Linked DNA regions of Mus musculus. The protein of the gene in region 1 interacts with the protein of each later gene in a pairwise test. Links are inferred from orthologs where the notes say so. Each region holds a gene or a part of one and is shown in the gene's direction. Other genes may lie near its edges.

Region 1 (3,897 bases):
TCCCTTTTAAAATGTACTTTTCTCTCATACAATCCCTTTGACTGCAGTTCCCCCTCCCTCAACTCCTCCCAGTTACCCCCTTCCCCCTCTTCCCCAGCTGCATTGCTCCTCTGTTTTATAACATTTTATAATATATTATTGAAAGATGTTTCACCCACCTGAATGACACATTTGAAGGAATAATGATTCTGTCTATTATTGGGCATTTACTGCATCTGCCTACTTTCCTTGATTTTTGTTGTAGTTAAATGCATGTGATAAAACTATAATCCTAGCCATCTTCAGGGTACAGTGTATATGGCATACAACAATCACTGCTCTTTACCTTCATGGATAATTTTATTTTGCAAATAAACAAACAAATAAGAAGCTAGGTCTATGAAAAGAAAGCTTTCCATACCTCAGCCATGCTTTTACAAGATTTAATTTTCATTAAATTTTAAAGGTCGGGCTACAGTAATGAAGAAGTGACCATGCATAGCAAGCAGGTGAGTATTTATTGTTGAGGCATTTTCTAAGTACTTTGAGCATATTCACTCACATAATTATTAGCAAGCATGCGTTTTGCACATGGGAGAGATGTATTTGTGGAATGGATTTTGGTACCAAGCAAACATTTCCCAGTAAATCTTGTCAATCTAGATGGAGTGTTAGAAATGTTCCTATGGGGCAAAAATCTGACAGTAAGTAGGTTTAAAGAAGTCTTCCTTTTAGCCACTTTTAGACAGGGACACTGAGGGAAGTTGTTTCTAAATGCTCAAGAACATCGGAAGTGACTCAACTCGGTTAAGGTCTTCCAGAAGACTCAGGAAGGGAAGACTTTAAAGTCAGCTTGGGTCTCCGCTCAACCAAGAGCTGGAGGACAAGGGGCGTGGCCTCAAGTGGGCGGGCACCGTTGGGGCGTGGCCTGGAAGCGACAGGGCGTGGCTGTCTGACCGGGGCGGGGCGCCGGCAGCGGGCGCGATGGCGGCTGACGGGGACTGGCAGGATTTCTATGAGTTCCAGGAGCCGGCCGGGAGTGTCCAGGAACAGGAGAACTGTAACGCGAGCCCGGAGGCTGGCGCGGGGGCACACGCGGGCGGCGACAGCTTCCCGGCGCTGGCTTCCAGCCTGGAGGAGAAGCTGAGCCTGTGCTTCCGCCCCACGTCGGAGGCCGAGCCCCCACGGGCGGCCGTGCGGCCCATCACGGAGTGCAGCCTCCTGCAAGGGGACGAGTGAGTGCGGGCCCCGGAGCGGGCGGGCGGGCGGGAGCGGCCCCAACCTCGCCCTGCCCCCGCCGCAGCCGGGAGTCCCCACAGGCCCCGCCCCGCGCCCTCCTTCTTCCTCGGTCGCTCTGAGCCCCGCCCCGGGGCTGCCGGCCTGGCCCTGGAGTTTAAATGCCCGCTGTTGCCCTGCCTTCCTTCCCCTTGAACCCTCCTGCAGACCCCTGTGTGCTTCCTTGTGGAGACCCTGCCTCCTGGGGCACGTGTGGCTCAGTTCATTCATTCAACTCGCTTTTCTTAAAGCCCCTGTCATGGGGCCTGGCACTGGGGATGCCGAAGTGGGCATTGCTCCTCTCAAGTAGGACACAAAGTGGGATGGGACATAGGTTGGTTAAGCACATGTTTTCCGAGTGTAATGAGTACTTTGATAGGTATTTGTACCGGATACGGGAGATTTCAAAGGGGATGTCCGAATGAAGACTTTATAGCCGCTAACTGAATCCTTGATGGAGATCTGGGAGTTAGGCAGAGTGCAGAGGTGTGAGTTACCATTGAAGTTATAGAAGTCTCTTGGGCCCACAAGAACAAACTGTCACAGAGGCAAAAAGTAAATGGTAGCCCTTACTAATGATATCTAATAGTGTATCCAGAAGACCAGTGCACAGCAGCAATGGCTCCCGTTTTCTCTGTGATTAGCTTCAGTGTGATGACATTCACAGGGGTTGATGAAAGCGCTTTATTCAGACACTTTTAAACCCAATTATTGTTTGTTTACACGAGAGTTGTAATTATGTACCGCATCTTTTCGTGAAAATCTAGCCAAAAGAATGGTGCGAGCCAGTGAGCTCGAGTGTTTTGTTTGCAGGGTGAGTGGAGACCCTAAGAGTACTGGCCCTCTTGGAAGGTGATGGGTAGGACCCGTTTCCAGAACATTGGGAACACAATGGTGGCCGGAGACACTACATGTTAGTGAGGAGAATTGAAACAACAGCATTTTTTATTACATCTTAATAATTTTGTGTGAGTACTTGTGTGATTGTGGACGGGTAAAGCAAGCCTGTCAGACGCATCCTTGGAGTCAGACCACTTGTACAGTCAGCTTCTCTCTCTCTCTCTCTCTCTCTCTCTCTCTCTTTTTTTTTTTTTTTTTTTTTTACAGATCCCAGGTCTCCGGGGTCATTGGTCTTGCTTGATGCCCGGTATCTTTAGGCACCAAAACCATGGGAGGAATTCTTGAACTATGATAAGATTCATGGCATTAAAGAGTTTTAATTTCTCAAGGAATTAGGAAATTTACCAAGAGAGAGCAGAGAGAGAGGACCTATGCTAACATGGGTGACTAGCCATGTTCTCCTCAAGGGCAGTGGAGGTATAAGTGTATGGTGGGAGTTTAAATGCAGAGATAAGCATGCGGTGCACAGCAAAAGGTGACTTTTGTAGATTTTCCCCAAAGAGCAGATGGCTTCCTCTATGTAGATTTATAGACTTGAATTATTGAGACTTACTGCACATTCAGGATTTTTAAATTTATATTTATGAGTACTTTACTTAAAACAGATGAGTGAGTGTAGCTTGTACCAGGATTCTTAGAGAAGACCTATTTTGGGTTCAGCTGGACTTTCTGGAAAGTTTATTTTAGCCTGTGCTTCAGAGTTAGGTGGCTGTAAAATCTAAACTATTTTGTTGCTTTTCCTGTTTTGTGTCTTGCAGCCCATGCTGGCCTTGAACTTGCTTTGCAGTTCAGGCTGACCTTGAACTCCTGGTCTTCCTGCTGCCCTTCTTGTGCTAAAATTATATGCATAAGCTGCTAAGCCTGGTTTTATTTTATTACCCTTTTCCCTCCATTTGGAGTCTCATGTAGCTCAGGCTAGCCTCAAACTCATTTTGTAGTGAGGATGACCTTGAACCTCCATCTTTCTGCCTTGGTCTCTTGCGTGGTGAGATTAAAGGTGTACACTAACACACCCAGTTTTCTGTGGTGTTGGGACTTAACCCCAGGGCACATGCATGCTAGGCAAGTATTCTAGCCTTTCCCCTTCGTTTGTAGCCCAAGTTGCCCTTGACAGTGGTTTTTAGTAGGTGGTGTGTTGGGGAGAGTGCATGTCTCCTGAATTGGGAATGTGTAAACGATCTTTTCAGAGAGCTAGGGCTCACTTCTTCTGTGTCCTCTCTCTTGTATACATTTGCTTTGTGGGGTCAACTGTAACCTGTTTCAGTGGTTAGAGAACCCCTTTGCCCATTTGCTGCCATGACTTGGGTCTTTTACTTGACTCCCTTGAGTTTTGGTTTCAGTTTCTGTCCGTATGGATTGTACTTATCTGCTCTAGGAGAGCCACTGTCCCTGGGACTTTGACTCCATAGGGAGCTCTCTTAGCAGCTATTTATGACAGGTTGTAATATCTTATGATAAAGATGACGGCAGAGAGAGGCTTGCTTGTTGTTCTCTTTTTTTTCTTGGACTCTGGAACCCACAGCTACTCCTTCTGGGAGAGCTACTCCACTGTCTTTATCTTCTGGCCTCTTTTAAGAAGGATGTGACCAACAGATAAAACCCTTTCAAACCTGGGACTCCTCACCTATTAGAATATTCTGTGACCTTGGCCAGTGTTAGGTATGTAGTCAATGTCAGGTTTCCAACCTGGGACAAAAGGCTGAGGTGACCATTAAGATACCAAAGTAGACACTGGCTGCCAGG
Region 2 (3,914 bases), on another chromosome or scaffold:
GTACCCAAGTGTTTCAGAGAAATAAATGCAAGTAAAATATACATACAATAAAAAATTAAAACCAAAAACAAATTTTCAGGCCCATTTCTATGACTGGCCCATGTGCATTTGAAAAGAAAGTGTGTTCTTCACTATCTTGGAAAATCCCATCCTTCTTTGAATGTTGCCCATATTCATTCTATTTTGTTGGCACTCCTCTTAGCGTTACCTGGGGTTTCCCTCTCTTCCCATATTCTCCTTCCTTCAAATCCTGAATTGTAGTCCAAGCCTAATACTTTCGTCTCAAACACTAAATGGTAGGTACTTTATTTATAAAGGATTACGGTCACGTGTTAGCAAATCCTGCTTGATTGGTTTAAGATACCCGGGAGTTGTAGAAATGGCTCAGAAGTTAACAGTACTTATTGCTCTTTCACGGGAAGCTGAGTTGAGTTCTCATCATCCTCACCAAATGGTTCACAGCCACCTGTAACCCCAATCCCAGGGGTCTGATTCCCTCTTCTGGCATCTGCAGGCACCTTGCACAGGCACAAGCAAGTACATACACACCGCTACATATTCATGCAATTAAAAATAGAACCTTATATAAGAAAGAAAAGCCAAGAAGAAAGTATTTGTAAGCTGGCCTCTACAGCTCAGAGGTTTTGATAAAGTCAAAGCAAGAATGCTTTGCAGGTAAGAATATACTGTGGTCACTGACCGCTAACAGCAAGATACTTGTTTCAAAGGTTAGGTTATAATGAAGTGTCACGAAAATCACCTAGCAACCCAAAGTCTGGCATTGTACATGTACACTTGAATAAGAAACACAATTTTAATTAAGCCTTGGGTTTTCTGAGACTGAGATCAGGAGACTGCTGATCTAAGGAATCATGACGTGGTCGGGTGAACGGAAGTTTAAAAATTGTCCTGAATATGGGGTACGAAGAGAAACATCCATTAATGGTATATGCTTTGTGCGTTATCTAATTTTAGAAGTGGGGAAAAAGGAAACCGTGCTTTTAGAATCGAGGGGGGAGGGCGCTGCACTGTTCTGCTCACTCTGTTCTTGAATGTGAACGAAATATCTCTCTCCTAGAGTCTGGTCACGGCAATTTCCAGAAATTCTGTCTCTGTTTCCCTCCCTCTCTCCCCGTCTCTCTTTTTTTAACCTAGAGTGACTTTCCACCCCACTTTCCAGGTTCCTGGCGAGACAAAAGATGCTCAGCGAGGACCGCTTTCTTAGGCGCATCTTCTCTTCTGCGCCGTGATTGGTCGCTGCTTTTTTAGGACACGCCCAAAAATCCTGATTGGTCGTCAATGCCCTTTTGTTAGGGCAAAGGTGGACCCCGGTGCTCTGCCACAGGCCTGTCGAGGCGTCCAGCAGCCAGTGCGCAGGCGTGCAATTTCCAGTTAGGATTGGTGGGAGGACGCCTCCTCGCTCGGCGCACGCTCCGTGGGCGGGAAGGGCGGGGCTGACGCTGTCAGTTGGTCGGAGAGCCGCGCGGCCTGAGGCTTCCTACCCATCCCGCCTCTTCCCGGCGCTTCAGACGCAAGGTGAGGCGGCTCGGGGCGGCGAGGGCTGGGCCTGGGAGACCGCCGAGGCCCTGTGGGGCGGGGCGGGATGGAACGGGAACCCGGGCGGCGGCCTGGGTGCTGGATTGCGGCGCCGCGAGGCCCGACATCCCGCCGAGCGCTGCGCAGCCACCTTCCCGGCCCCACGCCGCGGGCTCAGTGGGAAGAGCCCGGCGGTGCGGGACCGGGACGCCGTGGGGGTGCGATGGGACCGGGTAGTAGGAGAAGACGCTCTGCTGCCCGAGCTACCTTCCAGTTCGCCGCAATTCTTCTGCTTCAGCCTCTCGAGTGCTAGGATTGCTTTGCAGGCGTGGTGGCCCGTGCATGTCTGGGGTGGGACGTCTTTGCTAGAACCTGGGTTTGTTTCTTTGTCAGCTTTTCTCAGGCGTCCTGCGGAACAAATATTGAGGAGTAAGGTTTGGGAAGGAGAAATCATAGTTTCCCGAAAAGCCAAGGTTTCTGTTACACCACCAGAGACAGACGTCGCAATAGCCAGAAGGACAGAGGTCCCCAAACCGTTATCCGTTTCTGCGACTCAAAGCTGTGCGTAGGAATCCTAGTGTCTGTATGCTCCAATGATTAAACTGGATGCAGCTAGCTCCCCGGGGATCTAACTTAAGTTTGATCCTTATTGACGATGTAGTTCCTCGATTTCCATCGATTTTGAAAGCCCTAAAATGTCAAAGCAGAACATGAACAGATTAGAAACATCACACTGGAGTGGATGCAGATGAAATTTTATATTTGTTTTGTTTGTGGAAACGCCAAAGGAGTTGAGTTTTTCAAACTCAGTTTAGGACCTTAATAATATCTTGGCTATGAAACATGAGGCAAGGCCTCTAGCCTTTATAAGGCTTAGTATCCACATCTGTGAATTGCATTTTCTTTCTGTTGTGATAAAACTATATATGTAAAGTGTTCAGTGCATTCCTGTAGTGCATTGGACTTTTAAATTTAAAAAACTATTGCTGGTGAGTGGATGATGGATGGAAAACATTAATTGCAGGTTCAAGAGAAGTCTGGTGGTTGAGTTTGAAAGGATATTAGGGAAATGTCAAACTCATATCTGAGATGTTAAGGCCAGCCGAGGTGGAATGATGGGAAAAGCAGAGTGGACATTGACTATATCCTTGATTCTGGATGGACTACTGTGATGTGAATTAAGCCACTCTCAGATTAGGCCAGGAGTTCTAATATGAGGCCTTTGGCCACATGATTTTTCTAAAGTTTCTTCTGTGGTCAAAACAAGAGAGTAGAGATGAGAAGGTCTGTTAACATCTGTTGAATACTTACTAAGTACACAAACACATAGCTGGATGTATTAAATTCCCAGAACAAACCCATAAGATGCAGTTATTAGGCCCATTTTATGGATGAGGATGCTGAGGCTGAGATTTTTTTAATTATATATTTTCTTTTTTTATATTTCAAATGTTATCCCCTTTCCTAGTTTTCCCTCCGAAGATCTCCTCCCCCATCGCTCCCTAACCCACCTACTCCCATTCCTGGTCCTGGCATTCCCCTATACTGGGTCATAGAAACTTCACAGGACCAAGGGCCTCTCCTCCCATTGATGGCCGACTAGGCCATCCTTTGCTACGTATATAGCTAGAGCCACAAGTTCTACCCATGTGTTTTCTTTGGTGGTTTAGTTCCAAGGAACTTTGGGGTTACTGGTTAGTTCATATTGATGTTCCTCCTATGGGGCTTCAGTCTCCTTCAGTTCTCTGGGTATTTCTCTGGCTCCTTCATTGGGAACCTTGTGCTCAGTCCAAAGCATGACTATGAGCATCCACTTCTGTATTTGCCAGGCACTGGCAGAGCCTCACAGGAGACAGCCATATCAGGCTTCTGTCAGCAGGTTCTTGTTGGCAACTGCCTAGTGTCTGGGTTTGGTGATTGTTTATAGGATGGATCCCATAAACATGGGATGGGGCAGTCTCTGGATGGTCGTTCCTTCAGGTTCTGCTCTGAACTTTGTCTCTGTAACTCCTTCCTTGGGTATTTGGTTCCCCATTCTAAAAAGGAATGAAGTACCCACACTATGGTCTTCCTTCTTTGTGAGTTTCATGTGTTTTGCAAATTGTATCTTGGGTATTCTAAGTTTCTGGGCTAATATCCATTTATCAGTGTGTGAGATTAGATTACCTCACTCAGGATGATATCCTCCAGATCCATCCATTTACCTAAGAATTTCATAAATTCATTGTTTTTAATAACTGAGTAGTACTCCGTTGTGTAAATGTACCACATTTTCTGTATCCATTCTTCTGTTGAGGGACATCTGGGTTCTTTCCAGCTTCTGGCTATTATAAATAAGGCTGCTATGATCATAGTGGAGCATGTGTCCTTATTACCAG

What was found.
Region 2: the proteins of Fez2 (region 1) and Scoc interact in binary tests that used the Homo sapiens proteins (3 or more experiments, as listed by UniProt). The link is inferred for Mus musculus from reciprocal best matches to the Homo sapiens genes FEZ2 and SCOC.

Annotation. Positions count from the first base shown.
Region 1 is NC_000083.6:78,415,150-78,419,046, reverse strand, and holds the start of Fez2 (fasciculation and elongation protein zeta-2), read left to right. Parts: upstream 1-894; 5' UTR 895-963; coding exon 964-1,214; intron 1,215-3,897. UniProt on the Homo sapiens protein: Involved in axonal outgrowth and fasciculation.
Region 2 is NC_000074.6:83,440,044-83,443,957, reverse strand, and holds the start of Scoc (short coiled-coil protein), read left to right. Parts: upstream 1-1,295; 5' UTR 1,296-1,536; intron 1,537-3,914. UniProt on the Homo sapiens protein: Positive regulator of amino acid starvation-induced autophagy.